Linked DNA regions of Macaca mulatta. The protein of the gene in region 1 interacts with the protein of each later gene in a pairwise test. Links are inferred from orthologs where the notes say so. Each region holds a gene or a part of one and is shown in the gene's direction. Other genes may lie near its edges. The genes, in order: PPP1CA, SPRED1, ZFYVE9, PPP1R15B, CSRNP1, TPRN and LMTK2.

The links.
Region 2: the proteins of PPP1CA (region 1) and SPRED1 interact in binary tests that used the Homo sapiens proteins (3 or more experiments, as listed by UniProt). The link is inferred for Macaca mulatta from reciprocal best matches to the Homo sapiens genes PPP1CA and SPRED1.
Region 3: the proteins of PPP1CA (region 1) and ZFYVE9 interact in binary tests that used the Homo sapiens proteins (3 or more experiments, as listed by UniProt). The link is inferred for Macaca mulatta from reciprocal best matches to the Homo sapiens genes PPP1CA and ZFYVE9.
Region 4: the proteins of PPP1CA (region 1) and PPP1R15B interact in binary tests that used the Homo sapiens proteins (3 or more experiments, as listed by UniProt). The link is inferred for Macaca mulatta from reciprocal best matches to the Homo sapiens genes PPP1CA and PPP1R15B.
Region 5: the proteins of PPP1CA (region 1) and CSRNP1 interact in binary tests that used the Homo sapiens proteins (3 or more experiments, as listed by UniProt). The link is inferred for Macaca mulatta from reciprocal best matches to the Homo sapiens genes PPP1CA and CSRNP1.
Region 6: the proteins of PPP1CA (region 1) and TPRN interact in binary tests that used the Homo sapiens proteins (3 or more experiments, as listed by UniProt). The link is inferred for Macaca mulatta from reciprocal best matches to the Homo sapiens genes PPP1CA and TPRN.
Region 7: the proteins of PPP1CA (region 1) and LMTK2 interact in a two-hybrid assay, tested with the Homo sapiens proteins (2 studies listed by BioGRID and IntAct, with this or other methods). The link is inferred for Macaca mulatta from reciprocal best matches to the Homo sapiens genes PPP1CA and LMTK2.

The regions. Positions count from the first base shown.
Region 1 is NC_133419.1:6,982,226-6,986,170, forward strand, and holds the start of PPP1CA (serine/threonine-protein phosphatase PP1-alpha catalytic subunit), read left to right. Parts: upstream 1-1,145; 5' UTR 1,146-1,221; coding exon 1,222-1,276; intron 1,277-1,802; coding exon 1,803-1,934; intron 1,935-2,083; coding exon 2,084-2,314; intron 2,315-3,341; coding exon 3,342-3,446; intron 3,447-3,790; coding exon 3,791-3,945. UniProt on the Homo sapiens protein: Protein phosphatase that associates with over 200 regulatory proteins to form highly specific holoenzymes which dephosphorylate hundreds of biological targets.
Region 2 is NC_133412.1:15,562,169-15,566,207, forward strand, and holds the start of SPRED1 (sprouty-related, EVH1 domain-containing protein 1), read left to right. Parts: upstream 1-1,239; 5' UTR 1,240-1,540; coding exon 1,541-1,572; intron 1,573-3,145; exon of another isoform or gene 3,146-3,266; intron 3,267-4,039. UniProt on the Homo sapiens protein: Tyrosine kinase substrate that inhibits growth-factor-mediated activation of MAP kinase. Negatively regulates hematopoiesis of bone marrow.
Region 3 is NC_133406.1:188,440,105-188,444,380, reverse strand, and holds the start of ZFYVE9 (zinc finger FYVE domain-containing protein 9), read left to right. Parts: upstream 1-1,476; 5' UTR 1,477-1,579; intron 1,580-4,276. UniProt on the Homo sapiens protein: Early endosomal protein that functions to recruit SMAD2/SMAD3 to intracellular membranes and to the TGF-beta receptor.
Region 4 is NC_133406.1:62,155,183-62,159,418, reverse strand, and holds the start of PPP1R15B (protein phosphatase 1 regulatory subunit 15B), read left to right. Parts: upstream 1-1,436; 5' UTR 1,437-1,843; coding exon 1,844-3,754; intron 3,755-4,236. UniProt on the Homo sapiens protein: Maintains low levels of EIF2S1 phosphorylation in unstressed cells by promoting its dephosphorylation by PP1.
Region 5 is NC_133407.1:101,454,037-101,458,332, reverse strand, and holds the start of CSRNP1 (cysteine/serine-rich nuclear protein 1), read left to right. Parts: upstream 1-1,496; 5' UTR 1,497-1,607; intron 1,608-4,296. UniProt on the Homo sapiens protein: Binds to the consensus sequence 5'-AGAGTG-3' and has transcriptional activator activity. May have a tumor-suppressor function. May play a role in apoptosis.
Region 6 is NC_133420.1:5,252,974-5,256,473, forward strand, and holds part of TPRN (taperin), read left to right. Parts: intron 1-694; 5' UTR 695-1,811; coding exon 1,812-3,500. UniProt on the Homo sapiens protein: Essential for hearing. Required for maintenance of stereocilia on both inner and outer hair cells. Necessary for the integrity of the stereociliary rootlet.
Region 7 is NC_133408.1:45,374,957-45,378,456, forward strand, and holds part of LMTK2 (serine/threonine-protein kinase LMTK2), read left to right. Parts: intron 1-1,697; coding exon 1,698-1,819; intron 1,820-3,500. UniProt on the Homo sapiens protein: Phosphorylates PPP1C, phosphorylase b and CFTR.

The DNA.
Region 1 (3,945 bases):
GCCTCCCAGGTTCAAGTGATTCTCCTGCCTCAGCCTCCCCAATAGCTGAGATTACAGGCGGCTGCCATCATGCCCAGCTAACTTTTTGTATTTTTAGAGAGATGGGGTTTCACCATGTTGGCCAGGCTGGTCTTGAACTCCTGACCTCAAACGATCCTCCCACCTCAGCCTCCCAAAGCGCTGGAATTACAGGCGTGAGCCACTGCACCCAGCCATGTCTGCTCATATAGTAATTCTTTTTACGTGCACACCCTGCAATATTACTGTGCTACTCAAAAGCTAATTATGGGGCCAGGCTTGTTGGCTCACGCCTGTAACCCCCCCAGGACTTTGGGAGGTCGAGGCCAGTGGATCACTTGAGGTTAGGAGTTCAAGACCAGCCGGGCCAATATGGCGAAACCCCACCTCTGCTAAACACACAAAAACCAGGCGCAGTGGCGCGCGCCTGCAATCCCAGCTACTCCAGAGGCTGAGGCAGGAGAACCCCTTGAACCTGGGAAGCGAATGTTGCAGTGAGCCAAAGTCGCGCCACTGCACTCCAGCTTAGGCGACAGAGCAAAACTCTGTCTCAAAAAAAATAAATAAATAAAAGCTAATTATGGGACTTGTAAGAAAATATTAATTTATCATGCCCCAAGGACCAAAGTGCGCTGGAAGTTCAGCCGTAGCTGTCTTTGAGTGTGGTCAGCCGCCTGGGGGCCACGGAGACCCACGAAAAAGGGGGTCGTACGTGAATGCGAGGTCCAGGTCTTGCACCAGTCTGTTCATATCTCTTGAGCCTCAGTTTCCTTTCCTGCACTTCGAGCAGTTAACCCTCAGTGCCTAGCAGCCGGTTATTAATATATTCACAACACCCTCCACCCAGGGCAGGGGTGGGAACGGCTGTTCTGCTTTTGAAAGAGAAAAACAACTTCCACAGTTCTTCCGGCCCCACATCCTCTGAACCGGGCTGGGCGCCTCCTCTGGGGCGTAACCAGTTGGACGCGCCCCCGACAGACCCCGCCGCCAAGGCCCCGCCCCCCAGGCCGCGGCGCTTCACGTCCAGCGGGGGCGCTAGAGCGCGGGGGACCGGGCGGGGCGGGCCCGGGAGGCCCGGAGGCGGGGCCGCGGGCCGGGGGCGGACTGGGGCGGGCGGAAGGAGAGCCAGGCCGGAAGGAGGCTGCCGGAGGGCGGGAGGCAGGAGCGGGCCCGGAGCTGCTGGGCTGGAGCGGCGGCGCCGCCATGTCCGATAGCGAGAAGCTCAACCTTGACTCGATCATCGGGCGCCTGCTAGAAGGTTGGTCGCGGCGGGGGAGGCCTGCGTCCGCCGCTCCCGGGCCCCCTGCCGGGCCCGGAAGTGGCGCGCGGGCGGGCCCCCGGGGCCAGCTTAGACTGGGCGGGGACGGGCCGCGAGGTTCGGTGGCCGCAGCCGCCCCCCCGCGGACGCGCCTGAGAGGTCCTGGGCCCGCTCCGACGCGCGGAGCAGCCCCCTCTCCCGGGCCGGGGGCGCACGGGTTGCCTGGGTTCTTGAGGCGAGGGAGAAACCCGGGAAGCCCGGTCCAGGAAGGGGTCCTGCGCTGTGAGGTGTTTGGGTGGCAGCCCCCTGCGCACGACAGTCGCCTCCCGAGGCGCTGAGGGTAGTTGGGGGCTTCCCTTGGGAGGCTTGAGGCCGAGGTCCCGGGAGGCTCAGCAGCAACAGCTGCCTGCGGGCAAGGAGCGGCCGAGGAGGCCTAGGCGCCCCCGGAGGTATCCATGGGGCCACCCGTGTCGCCCACCCTCCACCTGTCAGGGTCCCGGGTCTTGACACCCCATTGCGCCCCCAGTGCAGGGCTCGCGGCCTGGCAAGAATGTACAGCTGACAGAGAACGAGATCCGCGGCCTGTGCCTGAAATCCCGGGAGATTTTCCTGAGCCAGCCCATTCTTCTGGAGCTGGAGGCACCCCTCAAGATCTGCGGTGAGCCCCCCGACCCAGGTCCCCTTGCTTTCCTGAAAGTGGCACTGGCCCCCACAGAGTTCCTGGAGTCCTCCTCCCTTGAGCCCAGTCCTGGTCCTGGGTTCAGGTCTAGACCCTGCATCTAGCTTACCCGATTCCCTGGGTCACAGGTGATATACACGGCCAGTACTATGACCTTCTGCGACTATTTGAGTATGGCGGTTTCCCTCCGGAGAGCAACTACCTCTTTCTGGGGGACTATGTGGACAGGGGCAAGCAGTCCTTGGAGACCATCTGCCTGCTGCTGGCCTATAAGATCAAGTACCCCGAGAACTTCTTCCTGCTCCGTGGGAACCACGAGTGCGCCAGCATCAACCGCATCTACGGTTTCTACGATGAGTGTGAGTGGTCTGAGCGTCTGGGGCTGCCCGGGTCCTGAACCACACTCCTTGTCATTCAGTGGGACCTTCACATTGGCCTGATATCTGACAGACACTTGCTAGACTGTGCACTCCACGAAGGCAGGGCCCAGGTCCGTTCTTGTGCCTGCCCTGCCCCTCCTGGCATGGGGTCTGGGGAATGGTTGCTGACTGAAGGACTGTCCGTATTCTAGTGCTTTCCCCCAGGGCCCTGCCTGGTGACGTTCCCTCTACATTTGCTACTAAGCATTTAGGATGTTTGCAGATGAGCTCTGCTGTCCAGAAGCTGAGATAAACCAGACCTGTACTTGGCCCGGCTCGTGGGCCGGGGCGTGCAAGGAGTGCCAACCCTGAGGCTGGTCCAGATTGGAACTCAGTTTCCAGTGGACTCGGGTGCTTTAGAATTACTTCTGGTGGGAGGCTGAGGCGGGAAGATCACTTGGACTCAGAAGCTCCAAGTTACAGTGAGCTATGATCTTGCCACTGCACTCCAGCCTGGGTGACTGAACAAGACCCTGTTTCTTTACTTTTTTGAGACGGAGTTTCGCTCTTGTTGCCCAGGCTGGAGTGCAGTGGTGTGATCTCAGTTCACTACAACCTCCATCTCCCGGGTTCAAGCGATTCTCCTGCCTCAGCCTCCCGAGTAGCTGGGATTACAGGCATGCGACACCACGCCTGGCTAATTTTTTTGTATTTTAGTAGAGACAGGGTTTCTCCATGTTGGTCAGGCTGGTCTTGAACTTCTGACCTCAGGTGATCTGCCTGCTTCAGCCTCCCAAAGTGCTGGGATTACAGGTGTGAGCCACCATGCCCTGCCCAGATCCTGTTTGTTTAAATTACAAATTAAAATAAAAAGTAACTAGAATTACTCCTGGAAGGCTGACAGGCGGCAGGGGTGGGGGTGGTTTGCATTGGTGCCTGACTCTCTCCCATCTGCGGCTGAATAGCCCAGAGACCCCGGCTAAGGGTGGAGCAGGCAGACCCCTCACAGCTACCTCCCTCTGGGCAGGCAAGAGACGCTACAACATCAAACTGTGGAAAACGTTCACTGACTGCTTCAACTGCCTGCCCATTGCGGCCATAGTGGACGAAAAGATCTTTTGCTGCCACGGAGGTGAGCTCTCCTTAGTTGTCATCTGGGAAGTCACTCCTTTCAGGAAGTGTCTCCCATACCCCCCTGTGCTGGGCTGCACTCACTTCCTTGATGTGCATCCTACATGGGGCGGGCTTGTCTCCTTTCTCCCAGGAGCTCTGTGCTCCGGAGGCCAGGGGCGCCTTTGTGCCTGTTTGGGAACTTGAAAAAGCTGAGGGGAAGGGGATGGCTTCTGCCTGCCTAGGCACCCAGGAGACCAGTGGAGGGACCAGGAGGGTGGTGGAAAAGGTGAGGCTCACTGGCCAAGGCTTCCTGGAGGAAGGATGTCCTTGTTTGAGGAAGTGACCTTCCTTCTGGCCCTCCAGGCCTCTCCCCGGACCTGCAGTCCATGGAGCAGATTCGGCGGATCATGCGGCCCACAGACGTGCCTGACCAGGGCCTGCTGTGTGACCTGCTGTGGTCTGACCCTGACAAGGACGTGCAGGGCTGGGGCGAGAACGACCGTGGCGTCTCTTTTACC
Region 2 (4,039 bases), on another chromosome or scaffold:
TTTGCACAGTCCCTGCTTCTAACCCCCACTAACTAAAGATGAACTCATGCCAGTTCCATTCTTTGCTCTGCGAGGAAAACATACACAAACACACGGCAGAAGAGAGTAGCCTCCAGATTTCCCCTCTGAGCCACACTGTCCTTCTAGCCTCTTCGTTCAAGCAACCCGGATATTCCAAGCAGAGTAACGGGGAGTAAAGCGCCACAACAATGCAACCTCCCTAGCAGCTCCCTTCGCAGCTTCCACCCCCGCCCCCTTTCGCGGCGTGCCAAGAGTTTGGAGCGCGCGCACGCACACCGAGCACGGTGCAGGGCGGTATCCCTCCGCCTCCCTCCCCCTTTCCCCGCTAAGTGGCTCGACAACGATTTGGGAAATGAAGGGAGGAGGGAACTACTTTCCTGAAACTTGCTATGCTGCAAACGACTTCGAGTTGCAGTGATTCGCCCGGAGGCCGCGGCTTTTAGTCCTACCCACACACCCTCACAGCCCGGACACCCCGCTAGGCAGCCCCACCCCGCGCCCGCTCTGGCCTCCGGGGGAAGCGAGCGGCCGGGAGAAGTCGCGAGGGACTACTTCGCCTCCTTCTCTCGCGGGCGCCCCTGGTTCGGGCAGCGGCGGCGGCGGCGGCGGAAGGAGCGGGCGGCGTGAGCGCTTCCGCCGCCCCCCTCGCGGCTCCCCTCTCTCGGGCGTGAGGAGCTGGCCCGCTGAGCTGTTGGTGGGCACCGGCTGGTGGGGAACCTGCGGCCGCTCTTGTCCTCTCCCGCCGCTTCTCGGGATCCTGCCCCCCGGACCCGGGCCCGCCCGCTCTTCTCCGGCCGGGTGGGAGCGATCGGCTCGCCTGCCCCTCGCCTCACACGCTCCCCGCCGCCCCCTCCTTCCCCCTGAGGAGGAGTCCCGGCTGGAGCGTGTCTGGAGGAATCTGCCGCCGCGGGGCCCCTAGCCCGGCTCTGCCCGCGCCTGAGGACCGACCCAGGCGCCGCCGAGGGTTGAGGGGCAGCCAGCGGCGAGGCGGGAGATGGTGGGGTGGGCTCCGGCAGGACCGCGCCGCCGCTGCCCGGAGCCTGGGCTCGGCACCCCCCCGCCGGCCCCCACCGAGCGGAGCTCTGCTTCCTCCTCGCCGCATCCCTGAGGGAAGCGCCGCCTCTGCTCCCGAGTTCTCCGCCCGCCGGCTCCTTCCTGGCCGGACCCCGCTGCGCTCCACCCCAGTGGCTGGAGGAGCTGCTCTCCAGTCAGCCTTTGCAGCCCCTCTGTTTTTCCCTTTCCACCGGGCCTCCTCGGATCCCTTGGCTGGGCACTGAGGCGGGGGGAAGAGGCTGGGGTCGCCACGGCGGAGGTTGCTGCCGCCACCCCCCTGTGGGGGTGGCCGGGGTTCCCGGCTGGGGGGGCACCGTTCTGGGTGAGGCATCCACCATGGTGAGGCCCCTGTGCCGCTGCCCCCGCGCCCCCCCGGCCGCCGCTGCCTCCTGCCCCTCGGTGCTGCTGCTGCTCCCCCGCCTGCTGTTGCTCCTCCATCTCCAGATCGGATCACGGTGAGGGAAAGATGAGCGAGGAGACGGCGACTTCTGACAACGAGTAAGCGCCTCATTGATCTCGATTGCTAATCCCCCTCCCCCAATCCGCCCTCGGCTCTCCCCCGGGCCCATCCGAGACTTGGGTGCCGGAAAGCTTGCGACCCTGGGGAGTTCGGTGCATCTTCTGGAGATAGCTGATTTCTTTGGCCATTTTTAGTGGCAGCACCCCTCCCCACCCTCCCACATTTAGTTGCTTTATTTTGGGGAAGGCTATTAAGTGTTGGGAGAGGATGGCAATTGTACGTCCATGAGATGGAATAATGTGGGTGGATGGAAGTGGAGCAGAAACTACCCCTTTGCCTGTTAGAGCCCTGTCCCGTCCATTTTCACTCACATATCAGTCACCCTACCGTCAATATCTATCCTGCTTCCTTTATAGCTGTTTCACTTGGAAACTAATGTGTGGGAGCACCTCCTGCAGCAAACTGCTCTTGAATCTTAATTCGATGAGTCAGTGACTCTTAAATACCGATTAAGCCTTCACTCTCTCCCCCCTCCCCCTTTTAAACTTATGACCTATAAGATTCTTGTAAAAAATAGGGTTAGGGAAACATTTTTAGAATTTAATAGGATTAAGGACACCTGGAGTGTGGGAGATGTTGAGCTAGAGTTTACCTTTGTGAACATTGAACGTGTCTTCATTAGGAACGGAGGAGAATTTTGAACGCTAATTTTTACCTTTCAGCTATGTGAAAACACATGATTTACGTTGATTTAACCGAATTTACATTGCTGAATATGTTGGTGATTTCATCAACTTTTAGAGCATTCTGGTTTAAGTTTTTGCTTATTTGGGCTTTCTCCTTGCTTTCCAAACGAAATACTTCGTCTTTTAAATGTTTTGCTTTAACGTTAACAGCTGCATGGAGAAATAATGGTTGGCAACACTTTTCTATTGAGAAGGGATTTAATTCCAAGCGGAATGTTAGCATCCGTTTTCTTGTAATTAGGTTCAACTTTTGTTTATCTTTGGAGGGTTGGAAAGAGTTAAGTGAGTTAGGACTTAGTCCTTTGGATGCATGCCTTTAAATACAGTGCATTACTAAAGTCAGACGTTTTCGAAAGAACTTTATAAAGTCTAGTGCCGAGTCCTGTTTAACGTAAAATAGCTAGAGAAAGGCCAAGCAACATTTCCTCCCCCCTTACTCCCTCCCCACCCCAAAACACACGCTTCTGCTGAGCGGGTCGTAGAAGGAGGTACACTGCTGCAGTGTCAGTGCAGTGTAGAAGCAGAAGTGGCAGCCATGTTCTCTCTCTTTTTGTGAATCGCCCTCATTTGCATAGCACACTCTTCATTCATAAAAAAAATAATTAAACATCCATCACCTTGGACATCTTGAAAGGATTTCCCAGGAAAAAAAATTCGCGACTTGTTTGTCTGTGTGTAGATTTTAGAGTTCAGAAGGTAAGAAGAACGTGAAATTTTAGGTTAAATTTAAAAACACACACACACACACAAACAACTACCCCTGTTCTGAGAATGTTGACACAGTTATGTGGGAAATATCAGTTCGGGGAGGTGCTGGGATCACGTGATCGCCTCCATTCATAAAATACCTGGCTGTCCATTCACAGTGCAGTACAGTGTCTCCCTGCCTTCTGCAGATTAGATCTACTTTGAGGGAGATCAAGAAGTCTATTTCAGATAATGGTTATTTAGGAGAAAAGCTGCTAAGAACGCTGAACGGAATGACGGTAACTTTTATTGGTATCTTTCAAACAAATAGTTTGGATCAAAAATGTTAAGTTTTCTTTTAGAGATGGGAAAAGACTTCTTACCAGTTGAATTTTTTTCTTAAAGCAGTTAATAGCTCCTTGTTTCCTTCTTGTTGCAGCTAATAAAAAAAGCAGATGATGGAATGTGAATTCACACATGTAAAATATATTTTTTCTAAATGGCCGTTTTTTAAATACTTGCCATAAATAACGTGAGAACACATATTTTTTTGTGTGTGTGTAGTGATAGTGCATTCTACTGCTGTTAAAATAAACTGAGAAAATACTCCCAGTGATTTAATCCCCAAGATGTCGGTATTTGAAACACCGAATGGTAATCTTCAGTGGGAGAGTTGCTTTAAATATATTTTTTTAAATCCAAATGTACTTAGAATGGGACACCTTGGAAATTACCTCACTCACCCAGACTTTTAAAATCGTTTTTTCACAGATTTATCCTGCTTTATTAATAAATTATTCCCTAGGAGCTTTGTAATACTTTTAAGTTTGGGTAGGGCGATAATAATATTTAGCATAATATTTTGGTTAACTCTTCATGGGAACAAAATCTTGGGGGTTTTACTTTAAAAAACTCTATTATATTAGAAAATAATGTGTTCTTCTGATAATCAGTTTTACTAGAGCCAGCAATTTTGTTTGCTTGTGCATTAGATAAACCACAGAGTGAACTTATTTGGAATATAGCTTATAATATGGTAATTTATATCTCATCTTTAATAGGTGAACTAATG
Region 3 (4,276 bases), on another chromosome or scaffold:
CCTCAATGGATTGGATCATGTCTGGTCACATTGGGGAGGGCAATCTGTTTTATTCAGTACACTGATTCAAATGCTAATCTCATCCAGAAACACCCTCACAGACATACCCAGAAATAGTATTTAATTTGAGTACCCCATGTCTCAGTCAAGTTGATATATAAAATTATCTGTTGTATTATTGGACTTGCCTCACAATATTGAAAAACTGTATATATGATTTGACCTTGAATCTATAGAGTTAATTTTGTTTAAGAAAATCTTTAATTAGCTAGATATTAGAGGGGTGGTTACTTTACTTTCTTTCTCATTTTGACCTTGGTTTGTATTTTTATACTTTCATACTTCTGATATGACTTAGTCCTTTATTTAATAGATATAAATCTGTTTCTTAGTGTCAGTAGCTCTTCTCATTTAGAGTATATCATAGCATGCATATTTTTCTAGTTCTCAAGACAGGGAAATCTTTTACCAGTGATTTTCATTCTTTATTCTTTATTGGGTCTTGGAAACTTGAATTTTAGGTCTTTTTCTTATTCTCTTATTTTTTATTAAGCACATCATTTTCACGTCTGATAATAGAATATTTGTAATGTCAGGAAATTTTTCTTGCTGCCTCAGTTTATCTTTAACACAGTTTATCTGTGTTCATTAAATTATCTCCAATATACTTACCTGTTCTGAAAATACTATGATTATGTGTTAGATATTTTATACTGATAATATAATATTCATAGTCTTAGTTTTATTCTGATTAGCTTCAACTACTAATCTTGTTCAAGGCTAAATTAGGCCCTTAAAGAATTTTACATTGTCTCTAAGCAGTTATAGTTGGGCTACCATAACTTAATGGATATTGTCATATTTTCACAAGAGGGTAGTAATATTTGAAGAGCCTTTGTCTTTTGCATACACCCCTGATAGGGAAGGTTAATATTGGGTTAATAGATCCATTGCTTCTAAGCAGTTGGAGGAGGACTGGAATGAAGAGACTCCATTTGGAGAAAAAAATAGTTTGGCAGTAAAAATCACAACAAGAAACTTGTGAAACTCAACTTAAGAATTCTGTATGTATTGAAAAAAAATCGCGCTAGAAGGACATTCTTGTGAAGCAGCAGTTTTCTTAGCTTTGGATTCTTGGAGGGCCCATTATAAGGCAAATTATATACTTATGAATTAACACAATTGAAGTCATTGGGTAGAAAGTGCCTGCTGTTGATGTTTCACTTTGCATTATCCATTGAAAATAAACGTGCAAAAACTCTTCTTTGTTGAAACATTTAACTTTTGGCCTTTTCAGACAATAAAATGTCTCTGTTGCTGCCTTGCATGCAAGCCAGGTCTTTGAATCCAAAGGTATAATTGTATTTACTGTTCAAGCCCCATTGCTTTTGTTTGTCTGGCTATGATAGATTTATATGAAGAAAATTAGGGTTTATTGTTTCATCAAGTGTAATGAGCAATGTGTTTTTCATTTAGGATCAAACAGAGCATACTGAATCAGCAGGACTGGCTGGTGGTGCAGCAAGCATGAGTAAGCACCGAGAAGTCTGTTCCTTATCACGTGTGTAAGGGGAAAAAGGTAAGAAAATGTTTTTATTTCTCTTAGAGATTGAACTTGAGAAACCAATGAGATCTATAGAAGATAATACTGATGCATATATGTTATTTGCTTCATTTGTAACATTGTATCTTATTAAATCAGGAGTATGATTTTCTTCAAAAAGATTTGACTTAAATTCAGAGGAAAAGGGTATTTAAAAATCACTGTTATTTTATGTCACAGTGGTCACAATGTTAATTTCCCTACCAGTGCTGGCTCCTTCGTTTTAGAGTTAGTTGAGTATAGAAAGGTAATTTCAGAAAAAAATATGACTTTGAGCAATATTTTAGCTCATGCAAGAGCTAAACAAGTAAAGCTGATTTGGGGATGGGGAATCAGAAATGTAAAGTTAATTACATTATTTTATTTTGTATTTTTAGATAAGTTATTATGTAGAGCAATAATTTCCAGCAGAAAATTGGAAGTATTCTTGTAGAGCAGGAACCCTTGACTTTTTCCTAACTAGGAGTCATGTTGTTTTTTTTCAAGTCTTAAGATTATTTAAGGGTGTGAACCCCCAGTATCTGTGTTGGAAACAAGTGCTTGGTGTAGCCAAAAGAAACCTGCACTTAAGACAGAAATTTTCTCAGCAAGGCACTTTTACTTCTGCAGAAGGGTGCTGTTCACTCCTGTTACAAATGCAGGAGCACACCGAACAAAGGAAGGAAGGAAGGGGCTTTTAACCCTAACACAGTTCCTGTTTCTGTGTCTTTCCCCTATTGACTGGAGTTGGACTGCATAATCTAAGCTGATCCTCACTGGCTAAGGCTTAAACTTTTCCAAATAAGGTAAATGTGTGATTTGTGAAGGGGCAGGGTGGGTAAAGAAGAAATGGTTAGGCTTAACAGAAGAGGGGGTAGGATTGTTTACAACTTATGACCAGGAAGTTGAGTCTTTGAAGAGGAACTCAGTTGTACCAACAATCTCCCCTCTTCTGTCTTATAGTTCTTCATCTTCAAGTTTCTTTAACAGGATCTGGCTATGTTGTTCTTCTTGATTATCTAGGTGCAAGAGCTTATCTGAGTACAGAGGGGGAGAGGTTGGGGAGGTTTTTGTGAGAGCTGCTTCTGTGAGCCTTTGGGTTAACCCACAAATACAGGGTATGATACAGCAACCCACAAGGATGAGTACACCTCTAACAATTGCAAGGAAGGTAAAGATTGAGGTCATGAGTCCTTTCCATTTTCCAGACCACCTTTCCATTAGTCCTGTAAAGGGGTCGTCTATTCCAGAGTTTTCGGCTAGTTCATTTGCTAGGATGGTAAGGCCTTGTAAGGCTTTTATGATTGTCCCGTCGGGGGCTGTATTATTAGGAATAAAATAAAACACTGGACCCTGATCATGACATAGACTTCACCTTTTTTGGCCAACACCATGTCAAGGGTTATTCTATTTTCCCAGGCCATCTGGCTGGTGGGGTCTAATTTCAGCAATTCCTTTTATGGCATCTCTGGTATAATTGATGAATTGCTGCTGATTGTAGTATATGTAATGTATCCAGTCTACATTTTTGTTTATAGTGGACTACCAGAATAATATAGACTCGAACCTGGTGGGTATTTGGTTTTGAGCTTTGAATTCATTTGGTACCCTCTGCAGGACCCCGATGCTGTCTATGTAAACTTGGGGGTCAAAGGACCCATTTATTGGGGCTTCTTTTTTTCTTCTGGTTACCTGCTTCCTGATGAAATGCCAAGGTGAAAGGGATGGCCAATTGGATCAGAGCACAAGTGCCACTCCAGTTGCTTGGCAGTGTTCCAAATATTGGTCCCCCTCTATACCACTATACATCCACTTGGGGATGGACTGGGGCTGACTGATTGGTTAGCTCTTGAAAAGGTTTAGGTCCACTGCATCCCATCAGGTTTCCAAGGAATGTCAAATTTTCCCCTTGTTGTAAGAGACACAAGGTAAAATTGGCATTGAGAGCAGGAAGTCGAATGTCCCTTGGGGGCTGTCCCATAGGGCTCCTGACTTTTGGGAAAAGTAGTGAAAGAGTGGCACATGACTTGTTTCCCCAGGCTGTGAGGTGCTGGAAGAGAGCTACCATACAGTCTTTGCCTGATGGGTTGGCCCATCTGAGTGGGAGGGGAACAATTTGGGTTTCTGGCCTGCCTGTTGCACAAGCGTAACAATCGGTTTTATTTAGGGTGTGAATGGAATATTTAATCCATTCCAGCTAGGCATTTACATCTTGATAACCGGTTTCTATGGCTAGGGTTTGCTGTAAATCCTTTACTTCTACTATAGCTACTTTGGTTTTGTCATTAGACATGAAGCGAGAAATGGTTTGATTTTTGTGGTTTTGGGAAGTGAGTAATGGAGGGAGATGGAGGAGGAGGAGCAAACCTCATTTCAAAGATGCCTGTAGGGTCTTTTGCAGTGACATCCGCTCCTAGGCCATAAAGGCGCTCTAAAGTGGGGATACGGTCGGTGGAGGTGGGGATAGGAATAGAGAGAAGTACTGGGTTGCACTGGTGGTTTTGGCAATTTGAGGGGGTGGTTCCTTTGGTGAAGTGGAGGTAGGGTTTTAGGGTGGTGCAACCCTCTAAGGAGGTCCAGCCCTGATATTTGGTGGTCAAGATAACATCTCCTCAACTATAACATAACCCCTTAAAGGCTTGTGGTCGTCGATTGCAAGGGTCCGGGGTGATACTGGTTTTTCTGCGGGTGGAG
Region 4 (4,236 bases), on another chromosome or scaffold:
AGTTCTGGGAACTGAGCTGCTTCTCTGTGAGTTTAGTTTGCCCCATACCAGACATGTATTTACGCAGCACTGCCCACCTTTTACATAAGATCTCAGGTTGATGGTCTACATAGTACTCAACAATACGAGAACCCTGAAATACCTGTCAGGCTGGGCGCGGTGGCTCACGCCTGTAACCCCAGCATTTTAGGAGGCCCAGGCGGACAGATAACTTGAGCCGAGTTTGAAACCAACGTGGGCAACACAACGAAACCCTGTCTCCACAAAAATATGCAAACATTGGCTGAGCGCAGTGGCTCACGCCTGTAATCTCAGCACTTTGGGGGGCTGAGGTGGGCAGATCATAAGGTCAGGAGATCGAGACCATCCTAGCCAACATCGTGAAACCCTGTCTCTGCCAAAAATACAAAAAAATTACTGGGCGTGGTGGCACGCACCTGTAGTACAAGCTACTCGGGAGGCTGAGGCAGAATTGCTTGAACCCGGGGAGATAGCGCCACTGCACTCCAGCCTGGCGACAGAGTGGGACTCCGTCTCAAAAAAAAAAAAAAAAAAAAAAAAAAAAAAAAAAAATTGGGCGTGGTGGTGCGAGCTTGTAATCCCAGCTCCTCAGGAGGCTGAGGTGGGAGGCTCACTGGAGCACAGGAGGTTGAGGCTGCAGTGAGCCGAGATCGCACCACTGCATTCCAGCCTGGGCGACACAGCCAGACCCTGTCTCAAACAAACAAACAATACAAATTTAAGACTACGATAACCCTATAATTGGCCCACGGGGCATTCAACTTTCCATGGATTGAAAATATTCGGGAAAAATAAAGACAATAAAACATAATACAAATAAATACAACATAACAACTAGTTCCATAGCACTTTCATTGTATTAGGTAATTTACTTAATCTAGGGGATGATTTAAAGTATCTGGGAAGGTGTACGTAGGTTATATGCAAACACTACACCATTTTACATAAGGGACTTGACCAGAATCTGCGGATTCTGGTGTCTACGGCGTCCTGGAACTAATCCCCATTTAATACGAGGCGATGACTGTACACACGTTAGTGTGTATTAGGCCATCAAAACGCCTCCGGGAAATTCTCGGGTTATCTTGAAAACCCCTTTCCTACCCAAGCCCTTTAGCCTAGAGGGCTGTTGGGGCGGTCGCCTAAGAGACCACACAGAAACAACTGCGCATGCGTGCATCCCGCCGGCTGATGCAACCTCCCGCTACCGTGCGGCTCTACCTCGAGTAAGGAAGCCGACAGGGAAACCAGGCGCGACCAATCGGCGGCCACACGGAAGTGGGCGGAAAGCCCCACCCCCCCAGGGCTTTGCGAGAGACGTTGGGCGGCGCGGCGCTAGTGGCGTAGACGCCCAGCAGTCCTGCGTCTCTTCCGGCGGCTGGGGGGTGTCCTGCCGGCGCGCGGGCCCTGCGGCCATTTTGGGCTTCGCTTCCACCGCACCAGTCAACCTACCTAGTCCTTCCGGTGTCGCGTTGCTCAGGGGTTCTTCAACCTTCTGTCACTCAGAAAACCACCGCCGAGGCCGTGGGCAGGCTCCTATCGATGGTATTGAAGCGTCGAGCCGACTAGGGAACGTCCTTTCCCTCCAGGATGGAAGTCGCATCAGCTGCCGCGTATTGCGCGGGGTGTTTCTCCCTGTGTTCTGCCGCCCGCTGCCGCATCCGCTGCCCTCTGTGGCTTTTCTGCTGGCTCGGAGATCGGCCTGGAGCACCGACGCCACCGCTGGGCAAGGCCGAGACTCTGTAGGTTTCCTCCGAATCCCGTCCGACCTCCAGCCGCTGAGCGCCGCGGCCCTACCCGAGAAACTGCCAAGGAAAAGGAGATGGAGCCTGAGACAGGCGGATCGCGGAAACGGCCTGGCCCTCGGGCGGGCTTCCGGTTCTGGCCACCCTTTTTCCCTCGGCGATCGCAAGCAGGCTCTTCTAAGTTCCCGACGCCTCTTGCGCCGGAAAACTTCGGGGACCCCACACTGCTTTCCTCCGCCCAGCCCGAGACTCGGGTCAGCTACTGGACGAAGCTGCTCTCCCAGCTCCTTGCGCCGCTCCCCGGATTGCTTCAGAAGGTGCTAATTTGGAGCCAACTTTTCGGTGGAATGTTTCCGACCAGATGGCTAAATTTTGCTGGAGTCTACAGATCCCTGAAGAGACGGGAGAAACCAGCCGCCTCCACAGCGCAGAAATCTTTGAGTTCGCTGAAGCTCGACTCCTCAGACTCCTCGGCCACCAGTCCCCTTAATTGGCTAGAGGAGGGGATCCACTGGCAGTGTTCGCCCCCAGACTTAGAATTGGAGCTTAAGGCCAAGGGAAGTGCTTTGGACCCTGCAGCACACGCTTTTCTCTTAGAGCAGCAGCTAGGGGGAGTGGAGCTGTTGCCCTGTAGCCTTCAATCCCGTCTGTACTCTGACCGGGAACTTGGCTCTTCGCTCTCTGGGCCTCTAAACATTCAACGCATAGACACTTTTAATGTGGTATCCTATTTGCTGAGCCCCTCCTACCTGGACTGCTTTCCTAGGCTAGAAGTCAGCTATCAGAACAGTGATGGAAATGGCGAGCTAGTCGGCTTGCAGACACTAACCGCAGAGAGCAGCTGCCTGAGAGAGGACCCTTGTCATCCCCAGCCGCTGAGTGCAGAACTCACCCCGGCCTCGTGGCAGGGATGTCCACCTCTTTCTACAGAAGGCCTACCAGAAATTCACCATCTTCGCATGAAACGACTGGAATTCCTTCAGCAGGCTAGCAAGGGGCAAGAGTTACCCACCCCTGACCAGGATAATGGCTACCACAGCCTGGAGGAGGAACACAACCTTCTCCGGATGGATCCGAAACACTGCAGAGATAACCCAACACAGTTTGTTCCTGCTGCTGAAGACATTCCTGGAACCACCCAGGAATCCACTGAAGAAAAAATAGAATTATTAACTGCAGAAGTTCCACTTGCTTTGGAAGAACAGAGCCCTTCTGAGAGCTGTCCATCTTGTGAGATACCTATGGAAAAGGAGCCTGGAGAGGGCCGAATAAGTGTAGTAGATTACTCATACCTAAAAGATGACCTTCCCATTTCTGCCAGACCAGCTTGTAGTAACAAACTGATAGATTATATTTTGGGAGGTGCATCCAGTGACCTGGAAACAAGTTCTGATCCAGAAGGTGAGGATTGGGATGAGGAAGCTGAGGATGATGGTTTTGATAGTGATAGCTCACTGTCAGACTCAGACCTTGAGCAAGACCCTGAAGGGCTTCACCTTTGGAACTCTTTCTACAGTGTAGATCCTTATAATCCCCAGAACTTTACAGCCACAATTCAGACTGCTGCCAGAATTGTTCCTGAAGAGCCTTCTGATTCAGAGAAGGATTTGTCTGGCGAGTCTGATCTAGAGAATTCCTCCCAGTCTGGAAGCCTTCCTGAGACCCCTGAGCATAGTTCTGGGGAGGAAGATGACTGGGAATCTAGTGCAGATGAAGCAGAGAGTCTCAAACTGTGGAACTCTTTCTGTAATTCTGATGACCCTTACAACCCTTTAAATTTTAAGGCTCCTTTTCAAACATCAGGGGAAAATGGGAAAGGCTGTCGTGACTCAAAGACCCCATCAGAGTCCATTGTGGCCATTTCTGAGTGTCACACCTTACTTTCTTGTAAGGTGCAGCTGTTGGGGAGCCAAGAAAGTGAATGTCCAGACTCGGTACTGCGTGACGTTCTATCTGGAGGAAGACAGACACATGTCAAAAGAAGAAAGGTTTGTTTCTTATCTTTTAACATGCCTGATATGTTCTGACTGTTTTGATATGGTTAAATATAGCAGCATGACTTTGGAGGCTTAGGAGTGCATGTGTTTTTGAGGAAGACCTCTAAATTCGTATACTTGCATTGAGAAATATGTAAATGACCCTTCTCCTCTCCCTGACTCCCCACCCCCATGCACATTTTTGCTGTCCACAACGAACATACCAGCGTGTAGATGTTAGCAGGAAAGTGCCATTTTTCTTTGGGTTGGTAGTTCTGGACTGTTTCTTTACAAGCTTCAACTTTTCACACTTTTTAACGGACTATTAAACTTTGTGTATACACGATTTAATTTTTCTAGAGATTGAAAAGGTCCTGTTACAGCCATAGAGTTTTAAACTGATTTTAAATGTATGTTGTTTGCAAATACTTAATATTTTGTTTGCACATAACAAGAGTGTCTTCATTCCTGTCCATTACAACCCAAAGGGATGA
Region 5 (4,296 bases), on another chromosome or scaffold:
GGTTTTGTAGGCCCCAAGGAGTTGAGACTTCATCAGGAGGGTACTGAGAAGCCACTGGAAGCTTGGCTCCAGCTGCCCAGACACCTCCCCCTGCAGGCCCCCAGGTACACACTCAACGCATCCGGAAGGACAGGGGCCTTTATCTTCCCCCAACCTGCTTTCCTCCTATTGTTCTTCCAGGAAAGGTAAAGTGGAGCAGACCCCTGCCATTCTACATACACATCTGAGGCTGAAGAGGGGCTCTCACCATCGTCTCCACCCCAGATACCATTCAAACAGGCCAGGAGGTCACCCCCACCCCCAACCTGGAGGAAGGTAGAATGGAATCCTGAGGGCTGGGCTAGTGGCTGACAGCATTCATCTAGGACAGTCAGAAGAACCCAGAATGCAGCGGGAGCAGGACTGGGAGGGGGAGGGTCAGGCTCCCACGAAGGCTCCCTGGAGGAGGCAGTGCAAGCTGAGCCCTTAAAAGCGTTGGGATTCTGGTAAGCAGAGAGAGGGCAGGAGAGCATTCCAGTCGAGAAGACCGGCTGCAGCAAAAGCGTGAGGGTGGAAACGCTCGAGGTGATGGGTAGACCCGTACCTGCGGTTGGGAAGTGGGGCTGAGGGTGGGCTCCCAGGCCAGGACTTGGTTGCCGGGGCAAGTCGTACCGGGAGGGTTGGCCCTGAGTCAGGAAAGGCCTTGGCGGGAGCAGAGAAGGCAGTGGGCCATTTTAAGTGGCCAAGATCTGGCCCGGAAGAAACCAGACTTTTTATTTTTTTAAGGGAAGGTTGAGGTGGGAGTGGGGAAGCTAGTTCCAAGAACCCCTAGTTTGGAACTTCTGCAGGGAAGGGTCTCTTGGCCCGTGGGCAGGGGTGATGTTCAGGCCCACTGATTACATCCATCCTTCCCGCTCCCCGCCTCCCTGCTCCCCACACACCCCAGATTCCTCTCCAGCCACAGTTTACTTTTCCGACGGATCTGGGGGTGGGTGGTAGGTTGGGGGCGGAGGAGGGAACGTTTAGATTCGAATATAATAAACTCCCTCTAGAGGGGTGGGGGTGGAGAGCGTACGGGAGACGTCGGCTGTGCCACTGTCTAGCCCCTGGCCTTGCTCCCGGCCTCAGTCTACCCATCTGTAAGCTGGGGCGGTGGGGCGAGGGGGGATCTCTACTCCCGGCTCTGCCAGCTTGAGTCGTCCGCGCCTTTAGGGACGGTGCTGGAAGCGGGGCGGGGAGGGCTCTGGCGGGAGAGGGCTGGGGGCGGAGAGCGGCGGAGGCGCAGTCGCCGGGTCAGAGTCCGCAGGGAGGCCCCCAGGCCGCTGCGCCAGGCTCCAGGCGGGGGAGGAGGCGGCGCCTCCGGGGCGGGGCTGCCGGGCGGCCTGGCTGGAGGCCCGGCGTGCGTCAGCGCAGTGAGCCCCGGAGTTTTCCACTGACGAGGAGGGCGGAGCGGCGGGCGGGGCTGGGCGCAGCCAGTCTCCCGCCGCCGCCGCCGCTGCCGGACGCGCAGAGCTAGGGGCGGCTGGACCGACGGCTGCCGGGCCGAGCGCACAGAGTCGCGGCGCTGGGGGCGTCCCCCGCCGGGACGCGGGTCGCGTCGTTTTCCTCCGCGAGCGTCCGGATTGCAGGTGAGCGCCGAAGGGCCTTGGGCCCGGCAGGACGGGACTTTGGGGAGGGGGCGTTCAGCGCGAGTGGCACTGCCGCTCCTGCCTCTTGCGGTTCTCTCCTCGGCACCCTGAGCGGGCGCGGGGGCGGGAGCTGCCCGGCTTTGACGGCGTGCCGCGGCCGGAGTCGGGGGCCCGGGGTCCGGCCAGCGGGAGTCGCAGGTTTTCTGCTCCCCTCCCCCGCCCGCCGCGGTAACCCCGAGAGAAGTCACGGCTCCCCGAGCTCTGCGCGAGTGGGGACAGAGCAGGGCTTGCGCGCGAGCGGCAAGGCGACGGGGGCGTGCGTCCGCGGGCGAGTTTCCTTTTGACCCAGTTGCCTGAGAACTTTTCAGAAGTTCCTCGCGTGGCCGGAGCAGGTGACATTTGTCGCCTTCCTCCTCGGGCTCCCCCCTCGGGGAGGCTGCGGGAGCTGCGGCGTGTGCCGGGCGCCCCCGGCCGGCGGGGGTCAGGGAGGGAGTGGAGGGATGAGCGAACAGGGAGGCGCGGTGAGTCACGGACCCCGGGAGGGAGGGAGGGAGGGATTGTGTCGTAGGCTCACCTGTTTGTCAGTCGCCGTCACTCTCAGAGGCCACTGCTGTGAGTCACGGGCGCAGCTACACCGGCCACCCGCAGGCACACGTAGACTCTCTCCCACGCACTTCTCCTCCTTCCGCAGCACGTATTTCCTCCCCTTCCTCAGTTTCTCCTCCCCGGGGCCCATTCACAGGCACGCACTGTGGAGATGCCCACACCACAGCCATAGTCACACACTTAGTCACTCCCGCTCCTGGCACAGTCACACACAGCCGTAGCCCACACTCCTGACACCAGAGAGTCCCTCCCCGTGTCCTGCTGCCCACCCAGCACCTCCACCCAGAAGTCTCAATCCTTTTGGAGAGTAACTCATCACCTCCCCCGACCCAAATCCTTGACAGCCCTGCCCTCTTCTTTCACCACATCCCAGTATCTGCCTTTCTCCTATGCCCTTGGCCTGTCCTCTCACCTGGCCCTGGCAGCACCTCCAACCGGTCACACCCCCTCCACTCCCGGTGCTGAGCCACGTTTTTAAAATGCAAATCTGGCATTGTCACTCCCTAGTTAAGCCCTCTGTGGCTTGCTGTGCCCTCAAGCTAAAGCCTGCCCTGGAGCCCAGGATCAGCCTCGCGGGCTGCCCCTCCTCCGATCACACTCTCCTGGTCCCTCCTCCTGTTCCTTACCCATGCGGAGTCCCTATCTGGAACTCTGCCTACTTTCCTTCCTCAAAGAGACCTACCTTCACCCCAGCCGTACCCTGTCCCACCCTTCAGACCCTCCATCCCAGCAACCCACTCTATTTGTCCTCCCTGCTCAACTCAGAGCTTCAAGAGGGCCGCAGTTGTGTAAGTCTTGCTCCCTGCATGCGCGAGTGCCTGCCACAGTGCTTGGCACGTATTTGTTGAGCTTGGTGCCTATTTGTTGAATGAATGAATGAATGAGAGAGGGAAGAAGGCCCGTCTTAGGTGGAGGAAGCAGTCATTGTCAGGTGCAATGTCCCTTCTGCAAGAACAAGTGCCTCATGTAGCCAGCATACATTTGGCACCTATCCAGTGCCAGGTCCTGAAGGCCAAAGCTGAGGAGCCATCCCCTCCCCCAGCTCTCCTTCAGAGGGATGCTTGGGGAGGAAGTGCCAAGGCTTTCGGTCTGTCCTCTCTGGGCCACCCAGGCTGGTTTTTCAGTGGGGACTAGAGGTGCTGGGAGGTGCCCTCCCCTTCTCCCAGGAAGTTGTTCCTGAGGGACAGGGGTCATGTGACCCCAAGTGTTTTGGGGGGACTGGCCAAGGCCTGGGGCTCAGAGGTTAAAGGACACATTCTTCAGATTCCTGAAGGGGGATGGAGGCAGCTAAAGGTGCCCCCTCCCTAAGACTGGCTTGGGCTGAGGCCTGGGGCACTGGTGGGACTGCCGAGGTGGACAGAGGAGTTGCTGTGACTTTTTCAAGCCCCGCCCCCACTTCTCGAAAACAGCCCTTGGTTGCTTGGTGCCCAGGGGTGAGGTGGCCTTTCCTGGATTCGCATAGTGTGACCTGAGTGTGTGGATAACCGTGGCCAGTTGAGTGGGGGGTTGTCAGTGCCTGTGTGTGGTGGCAGGAGGGCTGCCCAATTGTCAGGGCTCAGATCCCAGAAGAAGCCTGGCTCTCTGATTCAGGGCCTGTCTCTGGGGTTCCTCGGCGGTGAGGTATTTCTGTCCAAGCCAGCTCCTGGGAACTGCTTTTCCTTCCTCCAGGACCCTAGGGAGGGGGCTGTGCTCACCCTGGGAACACTGCCATGGTCAGAATCCTGATTCCTGGGTAGCTGCTGAGGGCCCCTCCCCCCACCTCTGACTCACTGTCTGACACTTAGATTCTCACTATCTTTCATTCCCTCTTGGCCTCTCCTTGTCTCTGGCTCAGTCTTTTTGTCTCATCTCCTGCCTCTGCCTCTTAGCCTCTGGATTCCCACGTGGAACAGAGGAACACGAGAACCAGGGGCACTTCCCCCGCCTCTCCAGAAGGAGTATCAGGGAGGAGGTAATTTCTCATTTCATTCCTGCGCTGCAGATTTGGAAGGGATTGTTCATCACTAGAACCTGCAGCATGACTGTAGCTTCCCTGTGTCTCTGTTTCCCTGTCTGTAGCTTGGAGGTCATAACCTCCTCACCT
Region 6 (3,500 bases), on another chromosome or scaffold:
TGTCAAGCCTGGGGTCGGCATAACTTTTGTCAAAGCCAGATTCAAGCTGAACAGTGGGAGTGAGTTTCCTCGTGATGTTATTTATTTCTAGATTTTGTGTTTTGTGTGTTCCCCTGTTTTATTTTGGTAGTTCAGAATTGGGCAACCCTATTAGGGTAGAAGTGATGAACATTGGATGCTTCCTTTGGAAAGGCGATTTGAGGAGGGCCCTATGGGAGGAGACACTTGGCTTCTGGAAGGCTGAAATGAAATTCTGGCCGGGCGCGGTGGCTCACGCCTGTAATCTCAGCACTTTGGGAGGCCAAGGCAGGCGGATCACGAGGCCAGGAGTTCGAGATCAGTCTGGCCAACATGGCAGAACCCTGGCTCTACTAAAAATACAAAAATGAGCTGGGCGTTGTGGCAGGTGCCTGTAACCCCAGATACTTGGGAGGCTAAGGCAGGAGAATCACTTGAATCCGGGAGGCGGAGGTTGCAGTGAGCCGAGATCCTGCCACTGCACTCCAGCCTGGGTGACAAGAGCAAGACTCCATCTCAAAAAAAAAAAAAAAAAATTATTTTCTCCAGCTTAATGGAGTGGCAGGAGAATAAGGCAGCATTAAGCTAGCGGCTGCTGCAGACTGTCATGGGGCACAGAAGCTGAGGAGGGCATCCCCAAGTTAAAAAAAGAAAAACCTGTTCTGTGTCTTCGCAGAGACCCAGGTGACCCTGGAGCACTGTCCCTGACAGGCAAGTGGTGTGGGAAGCAGCAGTGTCTACTGAGCAGGCTGCTGACTGCAGGGCAGGTGATGGAACGGTGATGTCCGCACTCCAATTCCCCTTCTCCCCATGGCTCCAAGCGATCTCCCTATTATCTGCAGGCTTGAAAGACTGTGGAAGCACTCCGAAGCCCTCCCTGGGACAGAAGGGACTTGTCGGCCTGGAGGCTGTGCCCTCAGGGTCATGGCATCTGGAGCCTGAATGGGGGGAAGTTCAACCGATGGGAGAGGAGTAGCCTTAACGTGGCGGCAGGGTGGAGTGATAAGACGCAGGGGTCGGCCCTATGGGGCCCACCGTTACCCTGGCTTTTTTTTTTTTTTTTTTTTTTTGGCTCTTAATGCATTGGAGAACTGTCCAAGCATACAGGGCCCTGCCCTGGTGAGCCTGCTTGCGTGTGGCGGGAGAGGCTGCTTCCTTTGTGCCTGCTCCTGCACATGCTTTGTGGGGACCACGGATGGAAAGGTTGGGGTAAGAGGCTCCCACCTGGGCAGCCTATAAAAACTAGCGATTTCTGAGAAACTGGTTCGTTGGGGCTGCTCAGGGCTCCAGAATTGGCATTTCGAAGCCCCGCAGGCACCTGCCGGAGGTCGGAGGGCCCCTGGTGAAAGCAGGGTCCGGGCCAGAGTGTGGCCTGTGCACCGTCCATGGGCGCGGGTGCCTTCGGTCTTGGAGCAGCCCCCTTCCTGCACCCTCAGCGGATGGAACAGGCGGCCTCGGTGCTGGCAGCGTGAGGAAGTCCCAAGCTCAGCCAAGGTCACTCGAGGCGCGGGGCCCAGGGGCCGCCCACCCAGCTCCCCGCAGGGACGCCGGGAGGCGACAGCGCAGGGGCGGAAGTGGGGTCCGCCAGTGAGCGGCGCGAGGCGCCTGGGTGTGTCCGAGGGGCCTTCCCAATGGAGGCCGGCTCCGGTGATAGGCGTTGTCCAATGAAGTCCCTTGGGAGGCGGGGTTGAGGAGAGTGTTGTCCAATCGGTAGGGTCACCTGAGGGGCCCGCCCTCCTCTCCTGCCATAGGTGGGCGTCCCGCGCGGGGCGGGGAGAGCGGGCTTCCCCCCAATGGTCGGTGGCCCGGGAGGGGGCGTGGCCGCGGCGCCCAGGTCTGCCGCGACGGCGGCGGCCACTCCGGCCCTCAGTCCAGCCGTCCGCGGCCGCGTTCGAAGCATGGCCGCCCTGGGGCGGCCGGGCTCGGGGCCGCGCGCTGCGGTGCCCGCCTGGAAGCGCGAGATCCTGGAGCGGAAGCGGGCCAAACTGGCCGCGCTGGGCGGGGGCGCGGGGCCCGGGGCGGCGGAGCCCGAGCAGCGGGTGCTGGCCGAGAGCCTGGGCCCGCTGCGCGAGAACCCGTTCATGCGGCTGGAGGCCGAGCGGCGGCGGGGCGGGGGCGCGGCGGGGGCGCGGCTGCTGGAGCGGTACCGCCGCGTGCCCGGCGTGCGCGCCCTCCGCGCCGACAGCGTCCTTATCATCGAGACGGTGCCCGGCTTCCCGCCCGCGCCGCCCTCCCCGCCCGCCCCAGGGGCCGCGCAGATCCGCGCCGCCGAGGTGCTGGTGTACGGGGCGCCGCCCGGCCGCGTCAGCCGCCTGCTGGAGAGGTTCGACCCGCCCGCTGCGCCGCGCCGCCGCGAGAGCCCCGAGCGCGCCCGCCCCCCGCCCCCGCCGCCGCCGCCGCCGCCGCCCGCGCAGCCCCGGCTCCCGCCCGCCGTCCCCAGCCCGCCCGTCGCGCCCGGGCCCCGCGGTGGAGGGGCGAGCCCCGGGGCCCGCCGCAGCGACTTCCTCCAGAAGACCGGCAGCAACTCCTTCACCGTTCACCCCCGGGGTCTGCATCGCGGTGCGGACGCCCACCTGCTCTCCAACGGGCCCTTGGTCCCGGAGCCCCGGGCCGGCCCTGCCAACCGCCTCGCGGGCTCCCCGCCTGGGTCAGGACAGTGGAAGCCAAAGGTGGAGTCGGGGGATCCCTCCCTCCACCCGCCCCCCAGCCCCGGGACCCCGAGTGCCACTCCAGCCTCGCCCCCTGCCAGTGCCACTCCTAGCCAGCGCCAGTGCGTCTCCGCAGCCACCAGCGCCAACGACTCCTTCGAGATTCGGCCGGCCCCCAAGCCAGATATGGAGACCATCCCCTCGGGGGACCTCCAGGCCCGGGCGCTGGCCAGCCTCCGCGCAAACTCTCGAAATTCCTTCATGTTCATTCCCAAGAGCAAGGCCTCCGGGGCCCCTCCTCCTGAGGGGGCGCAGTCCGTGGAGCTGCCAAAGGGAGACGTGGGCCCGGCCTCCCCGAGCCAGGAGCTCGGATCCCAGCCGGTGCCTGGAGGGGATGGTGCGCCTGCCCAAGGGAAGAGCCCCGTGGAGGTCGAGGCACAGTGGGCAGTCGAGGAGGGGGCCTGTCCCAGGACAGCCACCGCCCTCACTGACCGGGCCATCAGGTGGCAGAGGCCGTCCTCACCACCCCCCTTCCTGCCGGCTGCTGCAGAAGAAGCTGAGCCTGCTGAGGGCCTCAGGGTTCCTGGCTTGGACAAGAGTAGCCGGGAATACGGGAAGCCAGGGCTGCCTGTCACCTTCATCGATGAGGTAGACTGGGAGGAGGCCCCCCAAGAAGCCAAACTACCCTGCTCCCTGCGTCCTGCCAGACCCGGGTGCGTGGCAGAGCTTCAGCCCCGGGGCAGCAACACCTTCACAGTGGTGCCCAAGAGGAAGCCAGAGGCCCTGCAGGGCCAGAACTTCAGTCAGGCCAACGGGAAGCCCCGGCCACAGGAG
Region 7 (3,500 bases), on another chromosome or scaffold:
TCTTGATCTCCTGACCTCGTGATCTGCCCGTCTCGGCCTCTAAAAGTGCTGGGATTACAGGCATGAGCTACCGCGCCCGGCCAAGATGGGGTGTCACCATGTTAGCCGGGATGGTCTTGATCTCCTGACCTTGTGATCTGCCTGCCTTGGCCTCTCAAAGTGCTGGGATTACAGGAGTGAGCCACCGCGCCCAGCCTAAAAATATTTATAAATGATGTAGTCTGATGGTGCATAATAAATTTTGGAGTGAACACATGAGCAACAGTAATTATTACCTGTTAATGATAAAATATACATATCATATAAATGTTTCTCCATTACATGGTCAGTAAAATTTCAGCTCACATTCAGTAACCTGGGAATTTAGGTTTTTTTTTTAACTCTGTCACAAATATATCCTAAAGGAAAAAAGTGAAGAAGTCAATGAAGTTTCCATTTGTGTGTGTTTGTGTAGCCCCAGTGAATGAGGTAGAGCGCTGTGGGGCAGAGAATGGGACTGTCCCAGCTCTGGGCTGTCAGGAGACCTCAGAGAAGCCACTTGACCTCCATTTTATTTTCTTTTCTTTTTTTTTTTTTTTTTAATGGAGTCTTGCTATATTGCCCAGGCTGTTCTCAAACTCCTGGGCTCAAGCAACTTGCCTGTCTCAGCCTCCCAGAGTACTAGGATTACAGGTGTGAGTCACCCCACCCAGCCTTGACCACCACTTTCTAAGCAGCAACATATGGATAAGATCTGTTCTATTTTTCGGAGTTCTTGTGAGGACCAAATGGGTAATATTTTCAAAGAATATTATGCAAATAGAAGTTGGTTATTTGTCTACATAGTAGCTCTAGTGTCTCAAGCACTTGTTAGATGCCAGGCACTTAGCAGCACCTGCCTGCATCCTGCATCATCTCTTTTTTTCTTTTTCTGAGATGGAGTCTCGCTCTGTCACCTAGGCTGGAGTACAGTGGCGTGATCTCGGCTCACTGAAACCTCCACCTCCTGGGTTCAAGCGATTCTCCTGCCTTAGCCTTCCGAGTAGTTGGGACTACAGGCTCCCTCCACCATGCCCGGCTGATTTTTGTATTTTTAGTAGAGATGGGGTTTCACCCTGTTGGCCAGGCTGGTCTCGAACTCCTGACCTTGTGATCCACCTGCCTCGGCCTTCCAAAGTGCTGAGATTACAGGCATGAGCCACCGCGCCTGGCCTACATCATCTCATTTAATCCTCACCACAAAGAGTGGGTTTTCCTCATTTCACTGATCCGGAAAACACTTCACAAAGTTGTTGCTTGCCTAGAATCCCATAGCTGTTAAATGGTAGAATGAGGACTTCAGATCCCTGTCAGAGTCTAAAGGCTGCAGTCTTACTAACTGGTTTCACTATTCAGCACATAAGGCCCAGTATATATTGTTTTAATGTTTTGCTCAAAGTCTATGTTATATGCATCAGACACAGCGTACTTTCCTTTTCCAGGAAAGATGACTTAGCAAGTGTTCATGGCTTGCAGATGAGCCCATGAAGCCCAGGAGGCTTCAGAGAAACTCCTTACCCACTTTCCGCCCAGAAAGTCGCTCTTCATGCCTGCTTTTTTTTCTGACCTGGTTTTTTTGGACTGGGTATATGTTTTCTGAGAATACCATGGATTTAAATTCTTGAACTCACCAAAAGTATAATTCTATTCAAAATTCTGTGTGCTTTCTAACAAAACAGGAGGATTATATTGAAACAGATGATAAAAAAGTTTTCCCTCTGCGATGGACTGCTCCAGAATTAGTAACCAGCTTTCAAGACAGACTGCTCACTGCAGATCAGACTAAGTATAGTAATATCTGGTATGTATTGGCTTACCGTTTTATTAGGCATTTCTTTAACAAAGTCCTAACTTCTTCCTCTTTGAGTACTTTCTTAAAGGAAAGTAGTTGTATAAGATGCAGGAACAAAAGAGTGCCTGATGGTGTGAAAATGACAGTTTAAGAAACATAATAGCAATTATCACAATTGTAGTGATGTAGTTAACGTTTTGAATACTGCCTCTGCTACCCATTTTCCTTTATAAAAGCAGGAACCAAGTCGTTTCATGTTCTGTGCCTCCCACAGGACCTGATATATAATAGATATTTAATACGTATTTATTGAAGTGAAAGAAAAAACTGAAAGGGGTGTGAACTGTCATGTTTATACTATGATTTATAGGAGTCTGTTTAACGGAAGCTAAGAAGATGCACCTAAAACTTTGACTAACAATTTCTGTCACAGCCTTCTTAATTTATAGCTATGTTGTATGTGCTGTTGTCCTGCTTTTTGATTTTTGGGGTTTTTTTCCCTCTTCTTGCCTTCTTTTGGATTTCTTTAAAACAATATTTTTTGCTTTTATTATTTTTTTCATTGACGAGTGTAATTGGACATATTTATGGGGTACAGTGATATATATATATATATATATATATATATATGTATTTTTTTTAGAGTCTCACTGTTGCCCTGGCTGGAGTACAGTGGTACAGTCTCGGCTCATGGCTCACTGCAATGTCCGCCTCCCTGGTTCAAGTAATTCTTGTGCCTCAGCCTCCCGAGTATTTGGGATTACCGATATGTACCACACCTGGCTAATTTTTGTATTTTTAGTAAAGATGGGGTTTCGCCATGCTGGCCAGGCTGGTCTCGAACTCCTGACCTCAGGTGATCCGCCTGCCTCGGCCTCCCAAAGTATTGGGATTACAGGTGTGAGCCACCGCACCTGGCCTAGTGTAATATTTTGATACCTATATACAGTGTGTGATGATCAAATCAGGGTAACTAGTATCCCCTTCACCTCAAGCGTGTCATTTTTTTTTGTTTTGGGGAACATTCAAAAGCTGCTCTTCTAGTTGTTTGAAAATATTCAAAAATTTGGCCGGGCGCGGTGGCTCAAGCCTGTAATCCCAGCACTTTGAGAGGCTGAGGTGGGTGGATCACGAGGTCAGGAGATCGAGACCATCCTGGCTAACACGGTGAAACCCTGTCTCTACTAAAAAAATACAAAAATCTAGCTGGGCGAGGTGGCGGGTGCCTGTAGTCCAAGCTACTCGGGAGACTGAGGCAGTAGAATGGCATAAACCTGGGAGGCAGAGTTTGCAGTGAGCTGAGATCTGGCCACTGCACTCCAGCCTGGGCGACAGAGCGAGAGTCCGTCTCAAAAAATAAAAATAAAAAAAAAGAAAATATACAAAAATTTGTTGTTAATTATAGTCACCCTTCAGTGCTGCAGAACACTAGATCTTACTCCTTCTGTCCAGCTGAAATTTTGTGTTTGTTAGCCAGCCTCTCACTATTCCTCCCCTCCCTCCCCTTCCCAGCCTCAAGTAACCACTCTTCTACTCTCTACTTCTATGAGATCAACCTTTTTAACTTCCACATGAGTGAGGAGGTTTTCTTCCTTTTTCTTTCTCCCTTGTGTATCTGCTCTACCTTGTGTATTGTGAGTTTGATACTTTTGTGTTTTTTCATGATGATGGTTATCCTCCTTTAGCTTCC